Drosophila melanogaster: one gene and its partners. The protein of the gene in region 4 purifies or fractionates together with the protein of the main gene of each other region. This does not show direct contact. Each region holds a gene or a part of one and is shown on either strand. Other genes may lie near its edges. The genes, in order: Nap1, E(bx), Nurf-38 and Su(var)2-HP2.

Region 1 (7,656 bases), 9.3 Mb from region 4:
GTAGGATTCAAATGCTCATCACCCCATTTGTTTTGCAGATCTTGGGCTCATGGCCACCATTTCGGCCGTGCTGTATGCCAATACTGAGCATCCCAACCTGAAGGAGTTGTTTCCGATTTGGAACGACCGCTGCAAGCAGATTCTGAAGAGGTGGCGCTCGCTGTGCAACGAGAAGAAGGCGCCGTTCTTGCAGAAGGCCAAGGACAATCGCTCAGCACTGCGGCAGAGGCGGGAACAGAACAAAATACCTATGCCACCGAAACCACAGAAGCAGGAGGAAATGGGAAGAGTGTGGAAACAACCGCCCAAGCTGAAGGAAGACCAGCCGAACATGTTTGTCACGTACAGTAAGTGCTGCAGCTCAAGACTTGTTTTAGTTGCTCTAACCCTTGTTTTTTCGTCTAGATGGAAACGCCTACGATATGGGCAACTATGTTGGTGGCTCGGCGCAGGCAGCGTCCAATAATCCCAATCCGCATCACGTGATGCCGAACGTTAACGATAATCTGGTGATTAAGGCCACGATGCAAAGGACTCAGGTGCACACGACAGCAGCCAGCACCTTGAAAATGACCACCGTGGACAATAGGCTGGAGTTGAACACGGCGGTGTACGGCACGGAACCCATTGGCGACAAGAAGCTCAGGAACCTGCTGCAGAAGAACAGCACGGAGCCGATGCTCATGGGGGCCAACTCGGACTTGTTCTTGGGCAACGATGTAATGCGGCTGGGAATGATGCAGAACACACCCATTACGCAGAACAATCCCATGCTGAGCATAAGTGGAAAATCTCAGCCATCTGAAGGCAGGTCCTTGGAGCAGGATGTGAAGTTGGGCGAGCCGCAGGAGGCAACCTCTTCCGCCGTGGAGTTGGAGAATGTCGGATTCAGCGACCTTCTGGGAGGACTCGGCGAGGGCGACGACGACGACCTACTCAAGTCGCTCACTTCCGAAATGGGAGACGACTTCAATATCCTGGAGTACGCGGACCCAGAACTGGACGTCAATGTTCTCAACTCCCTAGATTTTGATGACAATGAAAAGTGCTCTACATAGGAGAAGCGGAATCGTTTAAATTGAAATAAAGAAAATGCAATATTTAATAGAAAGCGCCACTTTTGAATGCAGCCTCTTTTGGCGCCAAACCCCATTCTTCATCGATTGCCGTATACCATATCGAATTTGTATCTCTTCGGCACAGAAAACTGGTTTTCTACGCGGTTTGCACTGTTGTTACTTTTTATTTTCAGCTAACCATCCAGATGACCAGATAATGCAGTTGTTCAGTAGTTTCCACTCAATCCTAATTGTTTGCTGTGTTCTCTTAATTGATGGAACGCACTCGAAACTGAATCTTAAATATGCCATTTTGAGGCAAAAGCAAGCAGCAAAGGCAACGCAAAATGACACTTTGGGTATGGATGTGGGAGAAAGTTTCTGCTGGACGAGCGTATCATGTCGATGTTTTTGTTTATGAAGCCCACCAGCAGAGAATCAAATATGATGCCCAGAAGACCATGAAGGTGATGTTCTACAAGAACAACACCAAAACCATGGAGACTTCGGCCTACGACGATGCCTACGATCTCAGTGGCTCGGGTTGCTCGCCCACGGACAAGTTTGCCATAGTTCTGCATGGATGGATCCAAAGTTGTTCGGACGAGTGGGCGCTGTCGCTTATTGAAAGTGAGCATTTTTTGCATTTTTTTCAATGCCAAAGTTGAAAGCTACTCGAAATATGCATTTTAGGACTCAGTTACTACCGCGGCGGATGCGTGATATGCATAGACTACAGTGTGGTCGCCAGTTCCTCGTACATGCGGTGGGTAGTAGTAGTAGTCTGACCCCAAATTCTCATTATCCGACTTTTAAAGGCTGTACACAAACTTTGACACCCTCACCGGCGCCATATCGTCCATTATCCTAACACTGTTCAGGCAGGGATTCGATCCAAAACGAGGCTATATGTTTGGCTTCAGCTTCGGCGGACAACTGGCTTCGGCGGTGGGAAGATCCCTACGGCCACACCACATTATCGAGAGCATAGACAGTCGGTATCTTGAGCGTTATCTTAGCCACACCCAGTAATTATTGTATTGAACTGCAGCGTGCGATATGGCCGGACCCGGGTTCGATCCCATTGCAGTCGACCACTCCAAGGCCGGCAAGCATGTGCAGTGCTTCCACTCGAGCCGCGACAAGGGCACCTTCGTCTACTCCTGCCACCGCAACATAATGCTCGGCAGCTGCGGCCTCAAGCAGCCCTCGGTGGCCAGTCAGCTTCACCTGGGCAGCCATGGTCTCTGCGTCGACATATACATCAACACGTTCGACTATCCCTTCTACGCCGTGAACTACACACCGCCGGAGTGCTTCACCTGGCAAAAGACGGCCAAGATACCAGATGGCTACACGGTGGGCTACGAGGAGAACTTCGACAGCCAGGTCACGGGGCAGATCTTCGTGCCCACTAGCCTGCACTACCCCTACAACTTGTCCAAGAAACAGCTAAAGCTGCTGACCAAAGGCGGTGCTTGACTGAGTATTGGGAGAAAACACTTGGTTCAAGAATAGCAACCTCAGGAGGCTTATGTTTTTTAAATCAAAGTCAACCATATTCTAATATCATGTAGGTTTATTCGAGTTCAGCTCATATCGTTTGTAATTGTTGTTTTTATTTTTATTCACCAAAAATATATTTCAAATCAAATTTGAATTATGTATATACATTACACATGTGTAATCCAGCCACATCAACCTACTGATTCGGGCAGTCGTTGGGCGACTGCTTCTTGATACCGGCTGATTTGGGGCCCTTTGGTGGCGGTGCATCGTCGTCGTCGTACTCATCCTCCTCGTTCTCGTCATACTCCTCTTCGTCCTCATCGTCCTCATCGTCGACGATGTCGCCAGTGTAGTAAAGCACTGCTTTTGGAATAATTCTGGCGCGCAAGAAGTGACCAATTTCGAAGTCGGTGGCCAGGATCTGCGAGGAAGCGAACACGGATGAGCAAGTGGCCTTGCGGAAACTGTTGTTGGGTGAGCTTACCTGCTGGGAGTCGTCGTCGACTTCCTCCTGGTCGCTCGGGACCTCTGGTGGGCTGAAGAAATTGAAGAAGGAATCCGTCGGAACCTGCTTCACAATGGTGCGCACTGCGCCGCGCTCCTTGTGCTTCTGCTTCTTGCGGATGGTCTTCACAGTAAGGTTCATCTTCTTCTCCCAGTTAATGGTGCACCCCTGTAATTGGTTTTGTTTCGATTAGAAATCCCTTGTTGCCCTCGAGAGTGCAGATAGCTCACCGTGCACTTGTAGATCTCTGGGCCTTCAAATGCGAACGGATCGTTGGGATCCACGGTGGACTTCAAAACGTACTGCTTTGTGAGAACTGAGTTGGAGAAGTACTCGTTCTTGTCGAAGTGAAACTCCAAGGTGTACGAATGCTAATGAATAAAGAAGCGGTTTAGACGGGCAGGACTACTAGAACTATTGGCCAGCAAACTCACCCCGTTGTCGTACTTGATGGAAATATCGATTAGCTTGCGGATGGCGGGCTCGTCGTGCGGCTGCACCATCTCAGACATTATGGCCGTGTTGCGGAACACCGTCAGCCAGAAGCCGGGAATGCCCTTGGCATCCTTGGGAATACTTTTCAAACTGCTCAGGGCCTCGCGGAAGTGCTCGGCATCGGCCTCGTTGTCGGTCGACGACTCCGGTTCCTTCCACTGGGGCTTCTCCTCGGCGGGGTCCACCTTGCCCTCGATGATCTCCCTGCGCTTATCGAACAACGGCTGGTACTGCACCTGGTACTTCTGCTCCAGCTTGTAGACGTCCTCAAAGAACTGGGCCTCGATATTCAGGTGCTGCAGCTGTAGGTTTTTCAGGAACACAATCCGATTCTGCACTGGAGCCGGCAGCATCTTGACCATTTGCTGCAGATACTGTCGCCGCATGACCGAGTTCATGTAGGCGGGCCTGAAAAGTGGGTTGTGTGTGTCATTCCCCTGATTTTTTGCTTGCTTTCGCTTGCCAAAATGTTGCCACCCCCTCTTTCTACTCACATCGACTGGCAGTCCGAGCCGGACTTCTCGTCCTCGATTTCGTTGCAGGACTCGGGGTCAACGTGTCCTTCGGCTGGGGCGTCCATTGTTCAATAAATGCTGATCTCACTGCAAGATTCTCGATTAGTGTCTGTTGGCAATTGTTTGCACCCCGAAACGTTTTCGCAAGTGATGTACAGACTGATGTACACATGTGCACATGCATATGCATATGTGCACATTCTTATACAGAAAATTCCCACTGCGCTGCCATCCCAGACTGGGTGCACTTGCGAAAAGGGAGCCGCATATTTACTCGAGCAGCTGAATTTCACAGACTATATAGCATATTCGCACCGATAGAAGGGCGTTGTAAAAACTAATACGCCATTCGGCGAATCTGCCTGCGTGTGTGTGTGTGTGTGTGCATGTGCGATTCAATCGAATTACCATACAACGCGCTTTTGCAAAACACGTGGTGGACCGAAATAAGCTCGAATGTAGACGAAATTCGAGGGCTATCGGCAACTTTGACCACTGTCGCGAGCTCCCAGTGCCTGGCCGGTGAGTTGGCCCCCGAATTGCTGTCAATCAGTCAGAAATTCGCCACTTACCTTCGGTTAGAACAGACGCACGATGAGCACCGCCACGAAAATGTTTAAAAAGGAATGCTGCGCTTTGGCGGTGAGGGGTCCATTTTCTTTCGAAACGTGCTATTTCATGACAGGCTGTGGTCACACTACCTTCCCAGCCGAGACGCAAACCCTCCCAGTGCAACAATATTTTTAATTTTTTTTTTTAATTTTTAGATAATAATTTGAATGTTCTATTTACAAGTTGTACTCGCATAGCTAGTTAACCTGCACATTTAAAATTCATTTATTTGTTAAACAACAAGCAAAGCCTCACCTTTATTGCACCAGATCAGTAATTAGTTTAATCGTTGTATGCTAACTAATTTATTAAATTTAATATTTTTTAACAAACTGAACTTTATTTTCGAAATATAGCGGTAAATTTTAAGAATCGAGATGCTTGTGATCCTGAATTGCCTATCGATACTATCGGCTAAAACAAACCAAATAAAACAGCTGTGGCTTAAGTTATAACTATATTTAAAATAACTTCGCTTTAAAATAAAAGCCTAAGTTGGAAAAATATAAACATTCTGAAACGCTCCTAACAAATCGGATTTCTTATAAGACGTCAAGCAAGAGATTTGGATATGCTCGCCCAACTATCGGCTAACTTAGTAACTACTGAATTCTAAGCAATTTAAGGATTTTTGCCAAATAAAAACACAGGATCAATGTTATTACGTTTAATCCGTTCCCATTAACGGGTTTATTGACTTCTTTAGCAAAAAAAAAAAAAAAAAAAAAAAAATACGTTGCATGAATGTACTGTGCAAATTTGGAAATTATACCAAAATGCGCCGTTCTGCAAATTAAAAATATTTTTAGGGACCCAATATATATATGTATATATGCATATGAATATAATATGTATTTACATACGTACACCCACATCGGCGCACATCAGATGCCCATAGCCCATATAGCCAATTAGACTCTTTTCACTGCCTTGTAAACTTAGCGCGGAATCAGTAATTTTATGCGTTCACGGACGCCAAGGCGGAATCATCCATAAGATGGTATCATGGGTGCTAATTGCAATAAACATATCTTGGGGGACGTGTTTTCCAAAATACAATCGCCACTCGGCGTCCCCTATGCGTTACATTTGATTTCAATTGGACTTTTCATTAATACTACGCTTTCCCCCACTCGCGATTCCAAAGTATATACGGTGGAAAATCATTTTGTATTACTCATGCGCCTTTAATATGATAGTTTTATTTTATTCGTACAATTGAAAAGTTCACCCACATCGGGCAGCAGGAGTCGAAGCCCCCAAAAGTAAACACAATTCTACAAAGGACGTTTCCGTTGGCTCTGCCCAGCACAAGTGCATCGGATCGCATCACATTGGATCGGATCGGATCGTCGGTGAAGGCGAATTCCAGGCGCTTGCCCAAGTAAATCGAATCGAGTGAATCCGCTGTCCCCCAAAAGCATTCCCGCACGAGTGTCCGGATGTCCAGTGGCTGGCCTGGGCGGGCACATCCTCGGGTTAGATAACACCGTCCAGTCCATCCTGTTCCGCCACCACCACCACCTCTGCGTATGTACATATGTACATGCGTGCGTATGTGCGTGTTTGGATGTACGTATCTGCATGCACCTCTTTGTGTTCCACGTACATAGCCCCGTATCTGCACTAATCTATCTGCCCCCTGTTGTGTGTACGCGGCTGCGACGGCCCAATCGATGGGAACAGATTTGTGCACTTATCAGCGCGCGTGTAATGGCCTCCACCTGGGCCAGCTGCCTCGTCTGGGTTCGGGATGAGCCCGATCTCGCTGAGAGCGCCACACACATGCTCGCCTATCAATTCGTCGCTGCGGGTGGGGGCTGGAATCACGGTGGCAGGGTCAGGAAACCGCCAAAACCGTTCCCACTCGACGTCTGGCACATCGCAGCGCATCTTGTGTGTCCCAAGTCGTGCCTTATGTAACCAAGCCGGTGACATAACACCGCTGAGGCATACTAAATGGCACTAAATGGTCGTTATCTTAAGCTCGCCGCTCACAGCTCGCGGCGAGTGCGGAGCGATTAGCGCCACAGATCGGAAACAGCCTTTATCTCTGCCCGAAAGTGGAGCATACATCGCAGGTGCAGTGGCCCATTTCGGCCAGACACCCACCAAGTTCGATGGTCATGTGATAGCGGACTACTAATCTCATGCAAATAGTGCGACTCACTAGATACCTTCGATCACGGGTTATCACACCAGTTGAGGTGCGGCAGTAATGATGGGGGCGGACTAACCGTCTTAGTTATTTGGTGGGCTTTGCAATTCGGAACAGAAATGTTATCCTTATCTTGGGAGCTTATGTGAATTCGGAACCAGCCGCACTGGACTAGCGATCGTCGGGAATGCTTTTGATCGCTAATTCCTAGCCGTGCCCTCGGCAGGGTCTCCATGTTAGCAACGACGATACTAATGTCATTCCCATTTCAGAGTGCCTTACATCCACAAATATGCCAGATAGATTTCAAGTTACAAAGGCTGACGAGGACACCGCGTTGGACTACAACCAGGATGAGTCTGCGAGCGGCAAGCTACTGGGGGACATCCACGACGAAACCCTAGGTGAGAACTATGGGTCGTACGATGGTAAGGATGTTTTCATTTTTATTTGTGCCACTATTATTACTTTAGTTTTACTATTAACTATAAGAGCTCGTTTCTTAATATATACTTATACATACTTAGATAAGATGTATACATACACAAGAACCATTAACACTGAAGAGATTGTGTGCAATTTCATCTGGTCCTTGCTGAGTTTCGTCCCATCAGCACATTTCGCCTGCTCACCCCCAGGCACACGCATTTCCCCTCCCATCGAGTGACTACTGTATGCCCAGATAGAGCTTACGGCCCTGCAATCCTATCCTGTGCTGCCCCAGTTGCCCCAGTCCGAATCCAGGATGTCCTGGTGACACATTTCGCGGCTGCTGTAAGCCAAAGCTCGTAGTACCTGACGAAA
Region 2 (8,110 bases), on a different chromosome or scaffold from region 4:
GAAAAACTTTAGCAAATCGATTAAGCTGACTAAATTGTAAGCGCACGGTTTGAATTTGTTTAGCCAGCGAATTAACAAGTTCCAAGTTTACGTTTGCAGGACCCCCCTTTGCTTGGACTTCAGTAAGGCGAAGTAAACGCTTCTCTAGAAACGTTTGTTTGCTGTTGGCTGTATTATTTTGGGAAGAAACAAGAAGCGGCTTCATATCAGAAGGAATTTTAGAAGCCATCTGCTCCTCGACCTCGGCCAACTTTAAACGGCGATCCAATAAGTCATCTAATCTAGATTTGCGAGCCACTTTTGAATAATAAGTACGGCCTGGAGCATTTAGCGCTTTGCTGACGTCGATGTGCCCTTTGATTTTCTCCGTAACATCTTCTATAACTTTCACATTTTTATATTGGTCCGGTAAATAATGACACACCTGACCATCGACATTGCTTGACTCACATTGTTGCATAAACCGTTGGGTGCGTGGGTCGACTAAAATAATTTCATTTACGTCGTTTTCCTCTCCCATGGTGTAATGTACGTAGACTCTATTGTGTGTTAGAGGTTGGGCTCGACGTGCACGAACACCACAGCGTCGACTGCTTGAGAGCCAAAGCCAGCCCCATTGCCCGTGGACCCGGTATTCTTCTCCTTTTTGCTTCCAGACTTGATGTTTGAGACCCAGGGTATACTTTATGTAGTTAAATGCTAAGCGATTACGTTCTTCCTCATCATCCCGCTCGCGCTTCTCTCGCTTTTCTAGTTTTTTTCGCTCCTCTCGTTCGGCACTAGTTATGCGTTGCAAAGTTGTGTGTCCGAGTTGCTCATGCCAGACGTTGGCAAAAACAACGCTCTTAAGGGACGCTTGAAAAAGTAACAATACTACCGCAAATTCAGAAGGTCGACGGGCGTTCATCACCGCAGCATTCCAAATTTTTTTGTTAACTACCCAGTTAATATTTAAAAAGGAAGCTGCTATATTGGATTCGAAGTTTATCAATGTTTGCCTTAGAGTTGTTATCATATTGTCAGTAGTTCCCATGGTTATACCGATCCATTTAAAGTCAGAAGCCGTCGTTAACGAGAACTTATGGGACAGATGGCGTCGCTTATCTCGCTCCTCGTTTCGTTGCGGCTTGTTGAGTGCAATTGGATTTGTTGAATACTGGTTGACATAGTTCTTAAATCCTTGCTCCATGCCAAGTTTAAAATGCAAAGTACCATTAGTCAGCTGATTGGATTTTTGACGCGTGACCATTTTACATTCTTCTTGTTTTTTTGTTCCCTCTATAGATTGACTCTCAGATTTAGCATCACCATCTTTTTCATCCTCGTCAAGCACCTCTTTCTCCAAAAGTTCATTTTTAGCCTCTTGTTCGATTTCGATAACACTACGCTTCGTGTGTTTGTGTTCATTGGTTAAGGTCTCAGTCAGTTTCATTTGGCGCTCGATTTCGTCTCTCCTTTCTGTAATCTGGCTATGCAGACGAGTTTCCAGTTCTTCGGCGTCCAGTCGACTGAGCAGCAATTTTAACTTACTTGTCGTACTGTAATACCAGCATGTAAAGTTCTCCTGATCCTCGATAAAAATGCGACGTGCAATAAACCAATATTTGCGCCCATGACGATCAACACCGAGGCTATCATGCCGGATTAGCACGCCTTGTTTTTCTTGTGGCAACACGCAGTCCACTACGCCACTTACCTTATGCGAGCGGCAAAGCCCGCACTGCCAATCCTCAGTAGGTACGTCATTCATTGGCGGGTCTACACATTCCAAATGATAGACAGCAGGGCACGTCTCGCAACATAATAAATCACCGAGCCGATGGCACACTCGGCAATGGTCATCATAATGAATAGGTCCCTCCTGCAGCATTACATCTCGTATAGAATTGGAAGTTAAAAATTGATCTGACAGAAACTGGAGCACTTCAAGCCGGTTGTCAATGCCCGTGTAAGGGTATTCAGTGTGGCTTAAAATGTGAAACACGTTGCGATCAAATGTCTTATCGCTTTCTACATAGCTTCGCAAAACTTCCGGCCACGTTATAGAGTCAATCAGGTAAAGACTTATATTAACCGTATCTTTTTGATCCAGCGGGCCAAAATGTGTACCCTGCGCGTCCTCTTCTCGAAGAATCGCTTTAAGCAGCATTATGTGTACCTCCGTCAATAATGCACTTTGCTCCTCACAAGCCAGCGCTGCACACAAGTCTTCAAATCGGAATGGTGAAAGGCGGACCATGTGGCGAAATCGTCGCAGTACTTCATAGATACTTAGCGCGCGCAAAACGTGTGTATTAGCAATGAAAAGATCCTCCGACGAGTCCGGCAAATCAAGCGCTGCATACTGACGACCTTCCTGCAGCCACACAGGTTCTGGGCTAGGAGGACGTGGCGGCCGACCAACTCCATTTTGGTTAAAGCTGCACACGGAAAACTCTGATTCGCTCTCGTTGGCTACTTCTAGGCTCTCGTCGTCGCTGGGAGTAAGCAGCATATCATCCTCATTATCGGATTTATCTTCTTCGGAATCCCCAAAATCTGACCCGTAGTGATACTCCGACTCGTACCCTGAAAAGAGGAACAGTAGCTCTTAGAACCAATATGATTTCACCAACACCTAAGTGCATAAAACCTGACATACTGTCACTGCTATTGTGGACCCAATTTCTACTGAATTGTATTTAAGTAATTGTTATTAAACTCATGCCAACTAGACTGAAAGATTTTTTGTCGTAAGATTTCAAAAATAATCGTTGGTATTAGAGCAGATAGACCTATCGAAACTGACTCGCCCGGTAGTGGTTGTCACGAAAATATTAAATTTGATCTTTTATGAAGCGGAAGCTCTTTAACGCACAGGAAAACTCGTTTGAAGTATGAGTACCATTCAAAACGATCAAAGTTTTCTCCACTGCAATCAATATATGGCACATTATGTTCCCTATTAATCTTCGAACTAGTCAGAGCGAAACTGTAAGTCTTGACTCCCAAGTTAGAGTTTAGGTGCCCCTTTAACCCACCTTTCCTTCCAGAGTAGCTACTGGTGTTCGGTTGCACGGCGGATTTGCGGCCTCGTCCCCTCTTAGCGGCGCTCCCGCGACTGCGATTGGTGTGGTTGTTGTGGCTGCTCCTGCTGCCCTCGTCGCTCTGTGGAGAAATGCCCCTGGATGCCGACGGAGTGCTGGGCTGCGACTTTCCCTCGCTGAGATACTTCGGCTTCTTGAGAAGCTGGTAATTGAAGCGTCCTGATGCGCGTTCGTTGGGCGTCTTTGGCGGACGTCCACGTTTACGGCTGCCGCGACCGCTCATCTTGTTTGTTTTCGCCTTGCGTATTTATCTGGCTGTGTGCAGGGGTGCGTGGGGGTACTCTCCTCAGATATTGTTCCAAGTTAATGCTGCGAGGCTGCACATTAGATCTGAAACGAAAATTAACCCATTAGTACACGGTGCCACAGGAACGCACACCGCATCTCACTCGCACTCAGCTAGCTATGTATTTACGGGGCACATTCAAACACACATTTACTCAACAGCGTATGTGGGGGAAAAATCGATCAGATCGTCAAAAGTTTGTCGTTGGGTGTTCACTTTCTTTGTATTGCGCAAATTTGGAGTTGAAAAAAACCCGCCAAAAGAGCTTGTTTAGTTCAGAATAACGGTTCCGATTAAATACATTAAGTACATGTATTCAAAACACATTCTTGGCTTCTAGTGTTGGACGGCAAACGCACTGGACAGCACCACCAAGTTCGATTGTATGTGTGCGAGTGCGATGAAATGAAGCCAACGCACATTGTCCGCCATTTAAGCAACCGTGAAAATTTTTGCGTCTGTTTAAATGTCACTCTTCTTTCACAATTAACACATGGATTAACTGCGCAAATTACCCAGCATGTTGCGGAATAATTGCACAGGATTTAACACGATATATTCTAATATTTTTAACTATCTTCAGCACACTGCGAAAGAGACTTTTACCTAACATTACAGTTTTGAACATAGCTAAAGACGGTGTACAGTCGGCCAATCACAGCGACTCTTCTATTGCGTGAAGTCAGAAGCGTCCTCTTGCGGTCGGCTTGGAGAACTAATTCTTTATGGTTGCACAAACGATATAGGCAGGGTTGCTTTTGGCATTTACGCTGAACCGCACTGACAGATGTATTTTTATTTTTATCGACGTGTTGAGCGGGCGTTTAAAGAAAACCCGTTAACTTGTAATCAAAATAAACTTACCTTTGCTCACTATCTTAAAAATTAAAACGGTATTTTTGATGCGGTAAAAAAAATGTATTTTTTTGTAAATTTATTTTAGTGTATTACATTCTACCCAATTTCGCATTTTAAATCCTGGTGATCTCATTTCGTAAATTGCCGACCACGAAAAATCCATTAAAAATGTTATCGATAATAAGTTGCCGTTACGATTTTTTGTTTACTGGGAAAGGTTTTTATATTATTATTACTTAAATTTTTTAAAAAATTATTCTAAAAATACTAAATTAAAGTATTTTAATTGTGTTTGTTGAGAAATGTGTTATTGTTAAAGAAATTAGGGTAAACAATTTGCTTTGAAGCCCTGAAAACATCGTTATCTTATCGCCTGCACAAAGTGATTCCATTGCAGAATTAAAACTTCTTTTTCGCTAGTATTACTTTATTAATCAAGCTCAGTGGTTGCATTTTAAATAGCAAGCATAAATTATTTGACATGTACGTAAACAATAATTGCCATAAATAGTTTATTTTTAAAAATACAATAATTGAATAAAATATGATCTAATCAAATAATCAGTGCGCAAAAATTGACATTTAACGCGGTTTTGTATAAGTTGATGAGTGTAATTTTCCGAGTATTGATCAATTCTAAGGAATGTGCTACCACATTCGTCTGACGTCATGTGTTATATTATGATAACGCACTCTACTGGTATCTTACACAGATAAGATAGCCCATATCTTACCAGTTCCCACACCACCTAACTAATGTCAAAATTTGGTTTGTTTACATACTTTCTGTGTAAACGAACTCGGCAATTTTGTTTTATTCATTTTATGCTATATATTTTTTGTAGATTGGTTGAAAAGGCAATATGAATCTAGGCCACTGGAATTTTCTCCTAGCTCTAATCAGTTTACAAACGTTTTTTAACGCCTCCGCACAGATAAGCACTGTAAATAACAGTTCGAAGGGATCAAACAACTCAAAGTAAGAAATACTCAAAATATTTGTTTTCGAAAAATACTAATTTTGGAATCTTTGCATTTTCTATAATATATTTTGCTTTGCTTAGTATTTTCCATGAAGACACATTCAATAGCACTTCGATTGACGTTCTGGACGCCTCAATACATTCAACACTGGTTGTACCTCAAACATATTCGACAGAAGCTGCAACAATATCAGGTGCTAGGTTCGCAACCTCTGTTCCTGTTCAAAGTCCTGTAGACAACCCGTTAGATCCGGCGGACTGTTCTCAACGGGAAAAGTACAGAAAGCAACCAGTTGCAACACCATCGTCTCGTTTAAGAAAATGCTGCCCACATGGAGAAAACTTAAATATATATCGGGAAAATCAAAGCGATTCGATGTGCGACAACGGGCTCTTAAGCTTCGAACCGACTATAATAAGTGCAGTTCTGTTCGATAACTGCATTGAAGATTTGGAGGTTGAGACTACGCTCGACTACGACATTGGAAATCCGTGCAACAGGTATGAAAGCGAATGTTAAATTGAATCAAAGTACAAATTCTTCTGCAAAATTAGTTCTCTTTTGTACGACGACAAAGACGATGTTTTCTTTGTTCTGCAAGACGGTTCGTTATTAATCATCGACAAATTTGGCAACGAATCATACACTGTGAAGGAACATTATTGCTTGGATATTGATAAGTCAGGACACTTGTTTGCCTTTACATGTGTAACCCAAGTGGAAGAACAAATTGCCTTCGCAAAAGTAAGTCAATGTAACATTATTTTCTATTTACCAACGGATGAATATTATTTCAGGTCGTTTTTGTTGCCGTTCTTATGCTTATATCTATGCCCTGCCTGCTATTAGTTAGTTATTTGCACATGACACTTCGTTTATTGCGTAACTTGCATGGTCTCTCGCTAAGTTTGATGTCTCTGTGCTTGGCGTCTGGATACTTTGTGCACTCCGTTGTGCACATCTATGGGATCCCGAACCAAGGGTTCATTGGCTACGTCATACAGTTTTGTATTTTAAGTTACTTCTTCTGGTACTTGTGCATATGCTTCAATGTTCTTTTGAATGTGTGGTACAAGTTGCCTTGCTGCATTCAATGCTCAAAGAGTTGGGCCACCTTTAATTTTGCGTGTTACGCTGTTTTTGCCTTTTCCGGACCGGCCACAATAGTTGCACTAACTGTTCAAAAAGGACTCCCAGGAATGCCGTCTTACTTTCTGCAAGGCAAGTTATTGACTTTAATAGTTAAAAGTATAAGTAGTAACATATGTATTATTTAAAGGCCTAACTGAATCCATCCGAGATTCCCAACGTTACTTTATTCCTCCAGTGTCTACTATACTTTTTCTAAGTTTTTTGGTAAGCACTTCTTTTCGTACCTGTTTTTTGTTTTATGCAATTGTACATTCTTAGCTTAACATCATATCGTTCTTCGGATTTCAACGTATAAGCGGCTACGCCAAGGCTGAAAAAAACATTCAGGAGCGAAAATGCTTGTTTGACCAACAAAAATATGAAGATGTTAAAAAAGAGTGAGTGCAGAATTATTGCAGTCCAAACACATGCATTTATTTTAATTTTTGTCGTTAGCGCTAAATGTGTCAGCTTACTTGGAATAATAATGGTCGTTAGCTGGCTGCTCGAAATAATAACATTTTACTCGGGATCGAATTCAAATTACCTGATACTCTGTGACATGGTGAATGGACTCCAGGGAGTTTGGGTACTGCTCATTTTTCTAGTCGTGCGCAGGCGTCGCACAATAATATTAAGGTGGTGGTATGATCGTGGTTCCCACGAAATTGAAGGCACAGAGCTGCAAGCTCTTAGTAATAGTCCCACATAGATATATAGAATTATAATACAATTACATTACATACGTTCAAATCTGCGATCGCCGTTAATATTACATTATTTTTTAATTATATTAAATTCTGGTTTATTTGACCTGTAAAGAATGATGTGCTTATAAGCAAATCAAATTGATGAAAAGAGAAAAACATTCGAAAATTGCTGAACAGCTGAACCTGATATCCTTTAATAGAATATATGTTGTTGCGGGCCACATTACCGAACCATTTCCCAAACATATTTGTGAAAATTTAACTTTGTGTAAATTGTGGTTTATTTAAACTTATATAAATACTATTAAATATTAAATGTTTGCTGTCACTTATATGGTCATATAAAGATAAATAGTCATTTTATTGTAAGAATGTTTTACCATCTTTGCTAATACTCTAAAAGGAAATGTGTAATTAGGCGTGCGTGTTACCAAAATGAGCCATTTCTGTTTTTTTGTGGATTGCGGTTGTTTTGAATTATGATACGAAGACAACGTTTTGTAACGTTTCTTAATACGGCGATTTCATCATAAGAATAATTGTGTATTTACATGTTATATGCTACGTATATGGGATCCAATTGGTCGGCCAGAAAACCATCCCGTAAATGCATCCGTTGCTTTTCGCCCCGACTATTAATAGGCACCACACCTAGAAACAAAAGTTTCCAAAATGAATAATTTTCATTAGAAAAAATGTATCACAAACCTGGATCAACGACCACTACAACGCCGACTATAAGCTGATGATCTTCTAATACTGTGTTTGTGACCAAGGGAACCAAATCCAAAGCTTCTGATTCATTGCCGTCCAACTCGACAACAACGACTAATAAGTTAGTCCAGGTGAAAACGGCGCTGAATAAAAAAAAATAATGCGTGATCTTTTCAACAAGTACGTCTTTAAGGTCTTACCACTCAGCAATTTTTTTGTGACAGCGCATTACCGAATTTTCGATATCAATTGGGTGATAGTTCATGCCACGTAAAGAGATCACTTCATCAACAGCTCCGACTACATACACTGCGTCGTGTAGTTCTTGATCATTAGCATTG
Region 3 (7,682 bases), 9.9 Mb from region 4:
CCCCACATATACATAGAAGCCGAAGTATTTATTTTTAAGTATTCTTAGCTTGTTTTATTATTATTGCGTTATGCGGTTTGTATATAAAATAAACAAAACGAAATCCATTGTTTTTAATCTATGTAATGTAAAATGATAACTTTTATTTTTGTATCTGTATTCTACTGTAAAATCAGCATTTAGAGTTTACATTTTACACGATTTTCCGCAAGGGCAAAACTACAATGATAAAGATAAACCCATACGAACACACACATACACACATACACACATACACACACACTCACACACACACATATATACACCGCAATCGAGACCGAAAGTATTTTGCAAATGTATTACACTTACAATTTTGTGCTATTTTGTAAAGATGAAACCCTGAATTAGTGTAAATCTGTTGGCGCAAAACGGAGATATGTATTTACCTATATAGTATATAGTATATGCATACCTATCTAAAGCTAAAGCCTTACATATATCCGAATACGAGTACCCTACACACATGCTAAATATTAGAGAGAAACGCAAGATCGCAATTTGTGCAAGACACAAACAAAAACCTGGTAAAAACACGCGAAGAACGGAACGACTGCATTACAAATGTGGCAATAAATAATACATAATTAATAAAACCCTGTAAATTAATAAAGGATAATCAATCATTCGCTGGCTATTTGAGAGCATCAAAATTGTGATAAATGAGAATTAGAATGCGAATGCGCGACGCAGGACACCGCCAGAGAAAGAGACCGCCATACAGAAGGCGACAGAGACAGACAGACTGCAGCTGGCGATTTGCGCGCGTTTCTGGCGCGACTAAAAACGCCTGCTTACCGTTTTTGTTTTGGTACGTTATAATTTTCTTTTGTTTTTAATTAATTATTTGATTTTTGACCTTGTGCATTCTTGGCTTTTAACTAGCACTCAAGCTAAAAATTTGACCAACTATGCTTTACTTTTTGTTAAATTCCTCAATAATCCTCGAACTGTTGAGCTCGTATTTTTTGAGCAAACAAACAGAACAAGATTTTGAGAACAATAATTTTTGTGATATATTCAACCATACCTGAATATGGCTTTTGAACTTTGGCTCTTTTTTCTTCTGAGCAAGCTATACACCAAATTAAAAAAAATCAGGTTTCCTAATTCCTCCTCCTCCTTTTGTTTTTGAACACAGGCAAGAATGCTTCGGATCGCCCTTCTTCAACGCCTGCATAGAGGCTCTTCAGCTGCACGAGGAGATGGACAAGTATAACGAATGGCGCGATACCCTGGGTCGCAAGTAAAGTGCGATTCTCTGGGATTTTCTGGCACCGTCACTGGCACGAGCAGCTACTTAATTCTATGAACTATTAACTAAAACTATTATTATTGATAACTGTGGCAGAACACGGCACGAAACTATGGCAACCAGGAAACGATCGACCCGAGGAATGTGTACCACTTGAAGAAACAACTAAGCTAACATCTAGCTACAAGAGAAAGCAGAGCAAAAATGTTGAAAAAAAAATTATGAAGACAATTACTAAACTATTACACGCTACTTATCCGCACTTATATCGGAAAGTCTAAATTGGTCTATATGTTATTTCTATCATCTGTCATGAAACAGTCTCGTGGAGCTTTTAGTTGTAGTGAATTACGTAAATTATGCTTATTTCTTTTAGTTCTTCGCGCAGAAGGAAAGCAAAAAGTTATGCCAAGAATCAAATATGAGAAGAAACAAACAAAAAAAAAACAAGCAAACAAAAAAACGAACGAACAAACGAACAAGAATCAAAATGTCTGATGTATATAACTATTTTTGTCTTCTTTTAAAGATTTCTATACATATTTATAACGCCTAACTGATTTGTACATTTCTTTTATTTCGTAAGCTTAAGTTAATTTGTTACGGCAATAAATTTTACGTTCCACACCTTCCCACACATGCTCTCCTGCAATAGAACGGAAATCACATCTGAGCAACACCACACGGCATAATTCGATTCGATTCTATGTAGTATTGCAATGCCTTACAATTACATAACTTTTAATTAATTTAAACTTGTTTGGATCTAGTCGTAAAATATAAATAAAGATTGTATATTTCAAGAGGAATCGACAGCGAATTTGATTGCGGTGCAAAACTTTATTCAACGTACGATAATATTTCAGTATTAATAATTCACAAGTGCAAGCATTTTCGATTCGATTGGACTACAGATAGATCATGGATCTTGTGATGGAATCAGCCCAGGAGAACATCTCACTTGAGATGAATGAAATGCCAAGTGTCGACTGCAATTACAAAGGACGTAAATTGGTATAAAAAGGGTTTATTTCAGGATAACATTCAGTATAAAGTATATGTACAACGATTAACGAACGCAAGCAAGCCAATTACATAAATTGGGTTTCAGCAGTATTTACAGCATGGAGTAATCTCAATTTAGCTTGCTAACTGGACAATTAAAGTAGCTATTAGTAAGCGTGCAGGTTGTGTTTGTGTAACCAATTTGTTTGCAAGTTACTGGTGGTTAAAGCGTGTGTTGGAGTAGTGTGTTTTTGGTTGGGATCGGGTGAAGCAGCTATAAGTTCGATCTAATATAGTGAACCTTACCTGTATCAGACACCTCCTCGACCTGGCCGCCATCGGGGGCCTCGGCCAGTATCTTCTCGGCCTCCTCCTTGGGAATGACGTGCTCCGAGTTGCGGTTGGTGATGTTGGTGCTGCGAAACGGACGTACTTAGGATTAATTGTAAATGTATAAAATGGCATTTAACCCACGTGGAGATGGACCCGGATGCGGGGCTCTGGTGCACCAAGTTCTGCCAGAACTTGTGGGTCTCGGCAATGATGGTGTTGGCAAAGTCCGCATTCTTGGCATCGCCGTTGAAAGCAAACTGATTCTCAGGCTTGCCATCGGGGATCTTGTAGATCTGCGAAATGCAAAGGGTAAGAGAGGGAATCGTCCGAAAATCGAATTCCACCCACCTTGAACCACTCAACGGTGGCACGAAGCAGACCCGGGAAGTACTGGTCCACATCGGCGATATCATTGACTTTCGAGGCCAACGGATCGTTCACATCGATGGCGATTATCTTCCAGTCGGTTTCGCCCTCGTCAATCAAGGCAATGGTGCCCAGCACCTTGACCTTCAGCACGTCGCCGCGCTTAGCCACTCGGTAGCCAATCTCGATGACATCGATGGGATCGTTGTCACCCTTGCAGCCGGTGGAGGGCTCGATGTGGTCGGGGTTTTCCCAGGTCTGGGGCAGGGCTCCGTAGTTCCAGATGTAGCCCTTGTGCGGGAAGCAGTTGGCCACGAACCGCAGCTTACCCTTCTTGATGTCCTGCTTGATGGGATTCATAGGGGTCTTCAAGCTAATCTAAGGGTCAGACATGCAATTTTTGTATTATTCAGAAGTATGAATCTTAGGGACAGGCAGACCGACCTCCATTTTCGCGTTGGTCCAACGTGGCACCTCCACCACCATGTTGTAGATAGTTTTCTCCTCGTTGGCGTACAGTGGAATGTCGTGCATCGGCGAGATGACATTGCCGCACTTGTTTTCTGTGGAGAATGGCCAGAAATTATTATGCCTGATATATGGGCGACACCTGGACACGCGATTTGATTAATAGTGACCGGGGACCTGTCGGCTAGACAAAGGTCACTAATTTGCGTGCCAGTAAACCGAAATTCAGCCACCAGTTTCGATATCTGCTATTCGGAATATGGGCTAATAAAGGAAAGAGATAAGCCCAAAGGGGCCGAAACTCTTGGTGTTTCCGCCATTTCCGACGCAAGACAAATCGGATCGGCTGATAGTGCTGATAATGCGTCGAGTTAAATAAGCAGAGTCCGGTTTGACCTGTTGCATAACCATTCCGGTACCGATCAACTAATTCTAGGTGCATTAACTGCACCGAGTTTGGGTAACTTGCAAATGCGCAAGCAAAGGGTTAAGCCGGGTCACATTCACATTTGGCCCCCAATGCGCTACTCTACTCACTGAAATACAGGCTGTAGCTCGGCGAATTCTTAGCGCCCTTCTCAACGGTTTCGTACAGAGCCATCTCGTGTGATTTCGTGCGCTTCCGTTCTATCTGAATATATCTGCAATTGCTGGCAAGGGCCGCTGGTGACGTTGGAATCGAGCCGGACAAGCGACCAACCGCACGTGAAGCGTAAAATGAACTCCTTGTAATTTTCGCCAACATTTTCTTCAGCCCTGAGTTGAGTCTATCGATAGGGCGATAGGACCCGATTTTACAGTTAACAGTGCTGCTCAGAAAATGTATAGCTCGATTCCATTTCATCCATTCCAATGGAGAATGAACTTCATTTTTTCATACAATTAGAACTATTATTATAAATATTATTATATGAAAACTATAACATTATAATTATTATTATTAAATATAAAATACAATATTGTAATTATAATTATTATACAAATCTATTTACAGTATAAATAAGACAACTATCAAAACCTTAAAGATTATTTAGTTTTTGTCAAATCGTAAAAACTTAAACAAAATATGCTTTGAATATGTTCATACCTGCAGAAGAAGCACTTAGAAATATTTTAAAAGTTTCATATAAGTGATTGAATTTTTTATAAATTCGAAGTCAATAGGTTTTACTTGTACTGGTTACTGATCGTTGCGAAATTGTCCGAATTCTGGTCATGTTAACTTAACATTAACAAAGCTTCCAACTGGGAACTATCGGTGCTATCGGGGATCCGAGCAGTGTCATCGATAACATTGGCAATCGAGTTTTCTAAATTCTGAGTTTTCTTTTCGTCTGTCGTGTGTGCGTGTTGCCTTGCTTTCGAGTTGGCGTTGCAAAAATTCCCCTTTATTTTGCTGACGAGATATTCCAAAAGAGTAAACAAACCGGGGGATCCAAGAAACCCCAGCTTTTATCCGAAAGCAGTCGTTACACGTACATTTTCAAGTGCCCGTGGCAACAAGTAAATTCCCCCCCTCCATTCACTGCAAAATCTCTAGTGAAATGCAGAACGGAAAACCGAGATCTTCGGCCAGGCCGTCGTTCCACCGCCGTCCCAAAGACGGAGTGGCCAACACCACCACTGATAACGCTGCTGTCAAGCCGGAGGCCTTGGAGAGCTATACGGGCAACGACGACAACGCCTGCGTGGTGTGCTTCAAAAACGTGGAAATTTTCTCCATCGGCGACTGTGATCATCCCGTGTGCTACGAGTGCTCCACTCGGATGAGGGTTCTCTGCCAGCAGAACGAGTGCCCCATCTGCCGCCACGTCCTGTCCAAGGTAAGTCCTGCGCTTGTCTAGAGAACCGAATCTCTATCTAATTCTAAAACACTTGCAGGTTTTGTTCACACTGGACAAGCTGCCCTATCGCGAACTGGAGGCAAATAACCGCTCTGATTTATACAGCAAGAAGTACCGCATCGGCTTCTGCACCGCAGAGATAAGACAGCAATTCTTCAAATTGCTCGACCATCCCTGCCCGAAGTGAGTATTCTGCCCGCACTTGAGTTGCACCATTGAGGCTCACCCTTCTACGCTAAATTGCAGATGCGATGCACCTCCATACCGCACGTTCGAGGGCCTTCGCAACCATGTTCGCAGCGAGCATAAACTTCTGTACTGTGACCTATGCGTCGAGACCCTCAATATCTTCACCTTCGAACGGAGGTGCTACACTCAGGCGGAGCTGCAGCTACACAACACCAAGGGCGATCCGGACAATCGGTCGCATCGCGGTCATCCGTTGTGCGAATACTGCAATAAACGCTATGTGGACCGTGATGAGTTGTTCCGTCATTTGCGCCGCGAGCACTACTTCTGCCACTTTTGCGACGCCGATGGTTGCAATGAGTTCTACAATGACTATGCGGATCTGGCGGAACATTTCCGGGCGGAGCACTTTCTCTGCGAGGAGGGTAAGTGCGCCACCGAGCAGTTTGTCGGCGCATTCCGCAACGAAATCGAGTACAAGGCGCACGTGGCCAACGTGCACGGCAAGTCGCTCAACAAGCAGCAGGCCAAGCAGACGCGCACCTTGCAGGTGGAGATCACTTTGGGGCCTCGTGGCCGTAGTGGGCAGACGGAGCAGGGCATAACCAGCGTGAGAACCAGGTGAGTGAGCGGCCATCCAATTTGAAGAAGGCACTCTTAGAATGGTAAACCTTACAGGAATGACGAGCACAACGACTACCAGAACGATTTGCCTTCGATCACCCAGCGCCATGTGAGCATTGATGCTGGCAACGAGGAACAGTTTCCCACATTGAGAGGCGCTTCCACAGCTCCCAGCGTATCCTTGGTGAGACCGCCACCGCCCTCGATGCGCAATCTTAGTGGAACTTCTGGTCTTGCTCGGACCAAAGAAAACTTCCCGGCTCTGGGAGGAGGAAATGGAGGTGGTGTTACTGGGCCCACTAGCAGCAGCATTGCCGCCCGGGCTGCTCAATCGCAGCACCCCGTGGCAGCTGTCTTTAAGAAACCCACAAGCGCGGCAGGTTCTGGCAGTCGAAGTGGGCCTCCCGGTAACGGAATGCTCCTGCATGTGTCAAATCGATCAGCAGCCGTGCCCAAAAAGGCAGCCACGCCGCAGGTAGACTTTCCTGCATTACCGGGTAAGGGGAACAAGAAGAATCTGCGCAACCTGGAGGAGGATATGCTGCCTAGCGGATCGCCAGTGCCGATGGCGAACATCTCCGCTAAGCATCGGTCTCTAGCCGATGACTACGTGTCAGTGGCTAGCCCGAGCACCTTTCAAAAGCTTCAAATGGTACAAAAGGAGGAGGACGAGGCCAAAGCGCGCCAGGAGGCTTTGAAGAAGAGTGCTCCCAAACTCACTGCGGCGGAATTCCCTAGCCTCGGACCGAGTGCCAGCGCCAGCTCAAGCAGGACGACTGCTCCAAAGCCCAGCAGTGGATCTCCTTCATTGAACTGGTCGAAACCAGCTAATGAGAAGAAGCAGCGTGAGCTGGAGAATCGCAAGGCCAAAGTGGCGCCGGCCCCGGTTCTGCCGAGTCCAACATCGAAACCTGCTCCCAAGGCAAGCAACAACAATGTTCAAGAGCAGCAGGCAAATAAAAAGGATAAAAAGCAGAAGGATAAAAAGAGCAACCAGGAGAATCAGCCTAAGACGGCCAAACCGAAGGAGAGAAATAATAACAACGAACAAAAAACCAATGGGGCTCCGTCTACGCCAATACGTGCTCCTCCCGGCTTAAAACCTGGCGGACCGCTAAAGCCACCACCAGGATTCGTGTCCAACGTGACTGTTAACTCGGTGGCCAAGCTGCCCAACAATCTCACGTTCACCAATTCGCTGGGCGAGTCGTATGACATTGTACCCAGCCCCTATACGTACACCGATCCACCAGATACCGAGGTCAGGAATCAGGTAAGCTAACGTCGTTTGCCAATTAGTTAGAAAACATTAACTTAAAAAGCATTTGTCTTGCGTCCAGAAATTGGTTGATGAGGTTATGTCCCTGCTCAAGACCCCAGAGGCGTTGAACGAATTCCGCTTGCTTTCGTCTAAGTTCCGCGACGGATCCTGTTCTGGCCAAGCCTATTACGAGCACTGCCAGTGCGCCATGTTGAGCTCATTTTACAACCTGTTCCCGGAGCTGCTGGCCATGCTGCCGGACATAAGTAAGCAACAGGTAAGACCCGTTTGCAAAACCACA
Region 4 (7,801 bases):
CCAATACTTTTTTGATGAAGCTGCGCTCAACTTCTTGGCAAATCAGTGTGAGCATATAGGAGCTAGGTGGGTAATTCCAGCAATTTAGTTAAGCCCTTTCTAATCTAGTTATATCAGCAAGGTTATATGCATGGGCGCACCGCGTCTACACTTCCATCTGCGACACAAATTGCAAAGTTTTCTGTTGGATTTGGATGAGAGATTTGCCGAATATCTGGGTCCTGAAGAGTTCTGTCTGTACAATATGTGCAATAATCACTTCTTTTACGATCGAACGCCCTTTGAACAATTCCTGGCAGGTACCAGGTAATATATTTATTATATGATGGTTACCGCAATTATAAAATGTCTCATTTGCCAGTTCCGATCGACTGGTGATTGTAACAGATCCTCCATTTGGCTGTCGCACTGAACTGATTTCGCACACCCTGCGCAGCCTTAGAAAACTGCATAATCAAATCAACCGATTGCCATCCACTCCACTGTCCATATTCTGGATATATCCCTATTATTCAGCTAACCACATCAGGCAGGAAATGCCTGAGCTTGAAATGTGTGAATACAGGATCAATTACACTAATCACCTTAGATATACGAATGTGGGCAAGCAGAGTCGGTTTTGTGGATCACCCGTGAGGCTGTTCACCAACGTGCCACTGCGACTTCTTCAATTGCCCCCTGAAGAGGGCTATAAGTACTGCCAAAAATGCGATTGTTACACTGCCAAGGAGAACCTGCACTGCAACCGCTGCGGGAAGTGCCCCTCGGTGAATGGCCAAACGTACAAGCACTGCGAGTCCTGCGATGCCTGTGTGAAACCCAACTATGTGCATTGCTCCGACTGTAGAAGGTGCACGCAGAAGGAGGGACACAACTGCTCCTTCTATCAGACCAAACAACACTGCTGGATGTGCGGCCAGAAAGGCCATATCGAAACCAAGTGCCCAAACTTCCGCAAGAGAAAGACGAACTATACCAAAGGCTGCCTTTTGTGCGGCAAACGAAATCACAGGGAAAAGCGATGCTCGTACCGCTCAAAATACTTCAGGGAACAGTGTTTTATGAACGAAACAACAATTCAGTGTCTTTAAGATACATACAAATATATATGTACAAAGATAAATACAAATTGCATTTCTTTATATACTGAGGGGCACTTTAGACTGTATGCATTTATGCAGTTTATAAGAACAACACTGACAAAACCTTCACTACCATCCATAAACAACAGGGCACACATTTGTTTAATACAAAATTTATTTGTTCTTAACACTTTTCGTTGAATGTCTTACAAGTTCTTGAATTGCAACGGCTGCGCGCGGAATTTCTGATGCACATGACCACGATAAATTGTGGAATGAATTCTCAGCCCGCCGGATGAACGAACGGATTGGGGGAAAACGATTAAATTTTGAAAATATGCATTACGTTTAAACAGGTTTTTAACTTAAGCTTAGGTATAATTAATTTCATGTGGAAACACACCAATGCCTCAACAAGCGGAATGGATCTCTTCTTATCTCGCCGCAAAAGAAATGATGACGTCGACATTGTTCACGCTCGTTGAGGTGAAAGTATTTTATTGGCTACGAAATGCATGGCTTAAGAACGATTGTATTTGCCCCAAATGTGCAGCATGAAGACGGAAGCGATGAAGAGCAGCGACATGACCAGCACGGGTACGGGACCACTGCAGCAAAAGTCTCATTAGCACTGGGCCTTTAATATAAATATAGCCGAGTTATTCACTTACACTTTGATACCGGGCGAGTCGTCCGTGTAGAAACGCCACATGCCACCAGTTCCGGCTCCGCCGGGTGCACGGCTCCGGGCCGCTGTGGTGCTGGTGGTGGTCTTGCGCTGCTTCAGGGTGCTGCCGCCTCCGGATCCGGCGCTACGTGGCGCCGACAATTTGCTGGGGGAGCGCGATCCGCTGCCCACGGACGTTGAACTGGCTGGAGCGGGCTGGCAAATGTGTTTTAATTAGTTGCCGCACTCAATTGCCATCTAGTTTAACTCACCATTTTGGGCTATCTGTTCCTCTGGACCGACTGACCTGGAAAATATGAACGGGCGAAGTGGAATCTGAACGTGAATCTGAATCTGACGTGCTCGGCTTCGTGTCGCTTCGTCTTTTTTCGTTCCACGTCACTTTGGTGGTGGCACCGCTGCCGATAGGTCGTGACGCTGAGGTGACAGCTATCGTGCACTTAGACAGCTGGAGATGACAGGCTAAGGCAACTCAACTATCGGCTGCTTTGGCTCTAAAATGAACTAGTAAAAAAAAAACGAAGAAATAATATATTCAAGTTATGAATTTAATAGATAACAATAATAGATAAAATATTAATTCTACAAAATGAATTGTTTAAATCAATTTGAATGAATCCTATTAATATAATTGGCTATTATTAAAACTCCGATAATAAATGCTATTATTCTTGATTTCCCTTGATTTAATTATATAATACATACTTAATAACTATATAATTATATAGAATAAAAACTTAATCACGCATTTAATAGATCATATAGATATAGAATATATAGAAAATCAATGAAATCGATTTTGATAGCGATAATGTGCAACCTTGCATGTAAGTTATTTTTAGATTTTAGCTGGGCAAGCGCAATTTTCTTGGCGCGCACCAAACAATTTGTAAATAATATTTTTGCTTAACTGGTATTGGTTCGACTGCGAATCACTAAAAATTATTAAGTGACTTAAGCACCGTGTTTTAAACATTGTTAATCGGAACGGCCACACCGAAGCGCGGGCTCACTAAACGCTTTTGTCATTTTTGCACATCTGTACAACGTTCACGTTAATTGCAGCGGCATCATCTTTGCTGGATTTCAAAGGAATATTTTGCGGTGAAAAGAACGAAAAAGTGCTTGCATTTGTGCGCTAATGGGTATATGAGGTCCTTCTGCTAAAGGAATGCCAAGTCATACAAACTTTTCGCGATTCGCCTTAATGGAAATAGATAAGACGCGGCGCAGTTGAAAGATTGCAAATTGATCCACCGATCGACCGACGCACATGAAAAGTGAAGTATGGAGGACATTGAATATTTAGACGAGTACAAAGACTTGGTGCTGCCAGGTGCGTGATTTCAGCTTCCAATGCTATAAATACTTCTAATGTGATTTGTCTGTCTACTTTGCGCGCGCACAGGGATTAAATCGAGTGCTCCGACAGCATCTTCTGCCGGCGTTCCGCGGCAGCGGCGCATTTCATCAGACTCGAGCAACTCGTCGTCGATTGATGCGGACATTTTCCAAAAGCTCTTCCATGGCAAGTACCTCGACGACGAACTGCTTAAGGAGGGCTCTGGCTCGAAGTCGCAGGACAGGCGTCGACGCCCCCCATCTCCCTCCTCCAGCGACGAGTCCAACGATGCCTTGGAAGCCCTCTTCTGCGGGAAGAGCAGCCAGTCAAAGCTGAGCAAGAGGCGCGAACGGTATGAGTCGTTCGATTCGGTGGACGACCTAGGTGGGCATTTCGCAATGGTTTCAATGACGCATTTTATCAATAACATTTACTTTATGCCTACACTTAGGAGAAGCCCTAATGCGTCCATCGCACAGGCTGACCGTACCCAAGCCCAGTACCTCTCAGGCAGGTTCCAAAAAGTCACAAGATGCTGCCCCACACAGAAGCATTAGCAATAGCAGCAGCAGCAACATTGCCATGTCATCTGGGCAAACTTATGCATGTCCAAAAAACAAGAAAACCAATTCTGTGGCCAACAAGACAGCAGTATCTGCAAATGGTGATAAATGGGCTTCCGGCAAAAACAAGACCGTTACCATTGTAAAGCCCCAAAAAACAGATCTAAGGCCTTCGCGGCTTGAACCCAAAACAGATCCATTAAGTAAGTTCGATATTGTGCTACATATCTGGCTGTGCATAACCACTTCGTATTTTCCATAGATTTGGGTGACTTATACGGGGACTCTGACAGCGATTCGTCCTATGAGTATGAATCGGACTTTTACGGCGATCAAGACTCCGATGAAGAGGATGAGCCGGTGATCGACATTTCAACGGACACAAGCAGGACCACATCGGTGGCGGGTAAGTCAGCGTTATTAACTAGTTGATACTGCCAACCCTCTGATAATATTCATAATATGTAAACACACATAAACCGTGTAGACACTGTGACACCTGTTGTTTCCGACGACGAGGGCCAGGAGCCGCAGAGTGAGCTGAATCAGCGTCATGCGAATGATCAGGAGTCTTTTTTGAGCAGCACCTACGAACGCCTGCAGTCGTATTTGAGTAATCTCAGTTCCGCCGAGCCGCCGCCAATCTATAAGAAACAGAATAGTGCGAGAAAATCCCGCTCCAACGAAAAGAAACCCTCTTCTTCCCAACAGGTTAAGCATGCTAATGAGCAATCAGCGGGTAAGTGTGCACCAACGTCCATTGGGGCGTCCATTTCTGAGCGCCCTCGTGAACCCTTACCTCTGCTACACCCTTACATTTGTAACTTTTTCTGCTTTTTGTTTCGCAGCCAGTGACAAAGAGGCTAATAAAAAGGAGCGGGATTTGGAGCCACCGGAGGCGAGCAGCAGTGCGAAATCCTCGGCCAGCAAGGCTAGCGGTAGTCGCAAGCTGTATGACGTAGCTAATAATGCTACGCTTGAGGCTGTGGAGCGCATGAGTCTCGACCTGGCCGAGCAAATCATGGAGATCGATGTGGAGCGATCTTACGAGTTCGAAAAGCGGTCTGCCTCAAAGTCGCGTAGCTTATCCAGATCTAAGATTCCAGCAGATTCTAGCACCTCGCAATTGGGTCACGTGCGAAAGCTAACCTATTCGAGCGAAAGACTGGATCAACCGGAACCTTTGGGCACCCAGTTGCGTCGGTCGAAGAGCGAGTCCTTACCAAAGCGAGGTCGCCCTCGTGGCCAAAAGCAGCGTAAGAACCGTGGAGCAACCATGGAGGAAAAAAGTGCTAATTGCCGGGATGGGGAAGGAGAGCCAGTCAAAAGAAAACGCGGAAGGCCTCGCAAAATTATTCCAAAGGAGGAGGCTAAAACAGCAGAGACTGAAAATACAATTGAAAGCTTGAACACAAATGTTCCTCTCTCAATAGATACGAGCAAAGAAAATCCGGAAACGGAGACGGTTAATTTAGAAGTGCCAATAAAACAGGATGAACTAGTTAGCGATTTGGACAATGCCAAGGAGCTCACAGGATCTACCAATTTACCCCAGGATGATATTGAAATGGCGTCAAATCACCAAGAAACGGATCTTAAATGTGCTCCGGACAGGGTTGCGCTGGATAAGTCTGAGTCCACGCCAAAGGTCGAAGAAGAACAGCTTTGTAAAGTGGACACACCTAGTGATACTGCACTGGACGAAAGCAAAGTATCCGAAAGTGCAAAAAATCATATTGAATTGGAAGATAAGGATAAGGATAAGGAGGAAACTCAGAAGGAATCTCCCAATGGCAATTCGAAGGAAACCAATGAAAACTCGGTTATAGTTACTAATGAAGTTGAATTACCAGCTAAAAAGGCTGAAGCCAAGGCAGAAGCGGGAAATATTGTTGAGGAAAGCGACTCCCAACTTGCTGAGGATTTTAAATTGGCTGAAGAGATCTTAGCCGCTGAGGTTGGTAAGGGAGTTGAAGCCAACGAGGTATCAGTGACATCTGTGCAGGGAGAACAAAATCCAGTCATTGAAATTGTTAAAGAGTTAGAGCAAGAAACCATTTCGGAAGTCGTGCCCGCTCAGAATGATCAATCTTCAGTCGAAGACCAAACTTTAGCTGATAAAGAAAATCCAGTGGAAAAACCGTCTCCAGTTAAGGCACCATCCTCTAGTAAGGATGAACCACCTGCAGAAGAAAACTTGCCTGCTCCTGACCAGGATCCAATTGAACAACAGAAAACACCTGTAGCAAAAAATCAACAGCATGACAAAGAACACAATGAAGCTCCCAAAGCCGAATCTTTGTCTGTTTCTGATATTCCGTCTAGCTCAGTCACTCCATCCAAGAAACGAAATCATTCCTCCCCAGCTAATACCCCCAAGAAATCGAAAGAAATTGAAGCTTTGCAAAGTTCGGTGCCGCGAAGAGCGCTTAGGTCTGATAAAGCAACTCCTCAAAACCTAAGGGAAAGTCGGTCGAAGCGGACACTGAAAACCGAGCTCACACTACTTATGGATGATACAATGAGACGAAGCAGTCCGAGACTAGGAAGGTCGCCAGCGGAAAGTCATTCCTCACACGAACGCTCTCCGATGGAAAAGAAAGTGACAGTCTCCAAGTTGGCCAAAGATTTAATAACAATAGATAAGGAAAAAGAGATAGAGCTGAAGTCGCTACCTGATGCGTCTGAAACTAAGGATGTAAAGATAACCAAAACCACTACAGCATCAGATACTTCCATACTGACGGATGAAAATCCTAGCTCTAGTAAGACTGAAATGAAGAAGTTGAAGGGTAAACCGTTGAAGGCAAAAAAGATGAGTAGGACCAGTGAGACAGAAGTTAAGAAGGCAATAGCAGATTCCAATGAAGACATACCTTCTATTTTTTCCATAAAATGTGTTGAAGAACATTTAACTTCTAGTGAATCGGAACAGAAAGACGAAAAAGAGGAGTTATTATGTCCAAAACCGCAAATAGATTGTACCAATACGGATTTAGAACAATCCACGGCTATTGAAACTGATACGGAACAAGTTGAGGAAAAACGATCAAATCGCAGAAAATCGCGCAGGATTCGAAATGAAAAATTCAAAACTGAAACGGACACACTTTCCGACCATTTGGATGCAAAGAAAGCGGAGAATGCATCTCTGGAAATTAGCATGCGACCTAAATGTACATTGGAGACTCAGCAAAGTGATCCTGTCACTGCTAAGAATAAGCGAAACTCCGGCAGATTAAGTCGTAAAGAAAAATCTGTTATTAATGCGGCCAAATCCGAAAAGGACAAAAGCCCATCCGCCATATCTCAGTCCACTGAAAGAAAACAACTTTTAAATGAAAACCCTTCTAAGAAGGATAAAAAAACAGAGCAATCTGGTAACAAAAAAGAAGCGGTAGTGGGTCCACTTGACAAGACGGAAACGTCAAGTAGCACAAATATAATCGATAAAAAAAGTAATGAAAGTTTTGACAGTGCAATGCAACCGAGTGACAGGCTAAATCAAAAGGAGTCAGCTTTTACGAAATTGTCATCAATATCCAGTCCCAAAAAAATCATGAAAGATCAGGATAAGGATTTGGATGCATTAAGCAAAGGCGGAGACTCGAATCCAACTATAAGAGATACCGGCGAGGACAGTAGACAGACTGATAAGAAACACCAAGAGAACGATACTAAACATGAGGAAGAGGATAGTTCAAAGTTAAAGGCTAATATAGATGAAACAAAATCTTCTTCAGAAAAGGACGCGGAGCCTATTTCAAAAGACTCTTCACAGGATTCAGCCAAACCCAGACTCTCGAAACCAAAGTCCAGAAACAAGCGTAAGAAAAACGAAAAGAAACCTAATGATAGTATTGCTGAATCTGATATAGAAGGTGGTTTTCAAGTTAACACAGAAACCGTTCAAGCTACATGTTCTACACCTTCAGAGTCCAATAAAAAGGACATGGTTAAATCTGATGAAACAAACGAGGAACCAAACTTATCCGAAACAGAAATAGGAAGAATAAGGAAACGCGGGCAGGCTTTTCACATTGAGAATCCCAAAGATGATTTACATATTACTCCGCAAAATGAAAACCAGAGCATTGCCGGTGTTAATTTTGAGAAACAGGTGCCA

The links.
Region 1: the proteins of Su(var)2-HP2 (region 4) and Nap1 purify together in Drosophila melanogaster (affinity purification with western blotting; one study listed by BioGRID). This does not show direct contact.
Region 2: the proteins of Su(var)2-HP2 (region 4) and E(bx) purify together in Drosophila melanogaster (affinity purification with western blotting; one study listed by BioGRID). This does not show direct contact.
Region 3: the proteins of Su(var)2-HP2 (region 4) and Nurf-38 purify together in Drosophila melanogaster (affinity purification with western blotting, with the first as the bait; one study listed by BioGRID). This does not show direct contact.

The regions. Positions count from the first base shown.
Region 1 is NT_033778.4:23,902,554-23,910,209, forward strand, and holds Nap1 (nucleosome assembly protein 1), read right to left. Parts: upstream 4,742-7,656; 5' UTR 4,655-4,741; intron 4,610-4,654; exon of another isoform or gene 4,491-4,609; intron 4,459-4,490; exon of another isoform or gene 4,357-4,458; intron 4,170-4,356; 5' UTR 4,148-4,169; coding exon 4,062-4,147; exon of another isoform or gene 3,976-4,061; coding exon 3,507-3,975; exon of another isoform or gene 3,444-3,506; coding exon 3,303-3,443; exon of another isoform or gene 3,266-3,302; intron 3,241-3,265; coding exon 3,052-3,240; exon of another isoform or gene 2,989-3,051; coding exon 2,761-2,988; 3' UTR 2,622-2,760; downstream 1-2,621. Other genes in the region: Lpt (lost PHDs of trr), read left to right, coding at 39-347, 406-1,058; CG13562 (uncharacterized protein), read left to right, coding at 1,276-1,417, 1,482-1,688, 1,752-1,824, 1,877-2,052, 2,110-2,540.
Region 2 is NT_037436.4:242,908-251,017, forward strand, and holds the start of E(bx) (enhancer of bithorax), read right to left. Parts: upstream 4,006-8,110; 5' UTR 3,476-4,005; intron 3,417-3,475; 5' UTR 3,310-3,416; coding exon 3,021-3,309; intron 2,569-3,020; coding exon 1-2,568. Other genes in the region: mthl14 (methuselah-like 14), read left to right, coding at 5,094-5,209, 5,295-5,714, 5,769-5,958, 6,012-6,435, 6,494-6,570, 6,625-6,743, 6,802-7,057; DIP2 (DISCO interacting protein 2), read right to left, coding at 7,603-7,706, 7,764-7,912, 7,970-8,110. UniProt on the Drosophila melanogaster protein: Histone-binding component of NURF (nucleosome remodeling factor), a complex which catalyzes ATP-dependent nucleosome sliding and facilitates transcription of chromatin.
Region 3 is NT_033778.4:24,556,853-24,564,534, forward strand, and holds Nurf-38 (nucleosome remodeling factor - 38kD), read right to left. Parts: upstream 4,236-7,682; 5' UTR 4,209-4,235; coding exon 4,001-4,208; intron 3,559-4,000; coding exon 3,440-3,558; intron 3,374-3,439; coding exon 2,978-3,373; intron 2,923-2,977; coding exon 2,771-2,922; intron 2,713-2,770; coding exon 2,603-2,712; coding exon of another isoform or gene 2,571-2,602; exon of another isoform or gene 2,300-2,570; intron 2,281-2,299; coding exon 2,249-2,280; 3' UTR 2,115-2,248; downstream 1-2,114. Other genes in the region: CG11414 (uncharacterized protein), read left to right, coding at 5,008-5,286, 5,345-5,490, 5,554-6,117, 6,175-7,393, 7,461-7,658. UniProt on the Drosophila melanogaster protein: Component of NURF (nucleosome remodeling factor), a complex which catalyzes ATP-dependent nucleosome sliding and facilitates transcription of chromatin.
Region 4 is NT_033778.4:14,613,123-14,620,923, reverse strand, and holds the start of Su(var)2-HP2 (Su(var)2-HP2), read left to right. Parts: upstream 1-2,805; 5' UTR 2,806-3,057; coding exon 3,058-3,106; intron 3,107-3,178; coding exon 3,179-3,496; intron 3,497-3,563; coding exon 3,564-3,878; intron 3,879-3,937; coding exon 3,938-4,081; intron 4,082-4,162; coding exon 4,163-4,414; intron 4,415-4,523; coding exon 4,524-7,801. Other genes in the region: CG12863 (uncharacterized protein), read left to right, coding at 1-66, 118-306, 362-1,091; Sec61beta (Sec61 beta subunit), read right to left, coding at 1,603-1,690, 1,754-1,965, 2,022-2,024.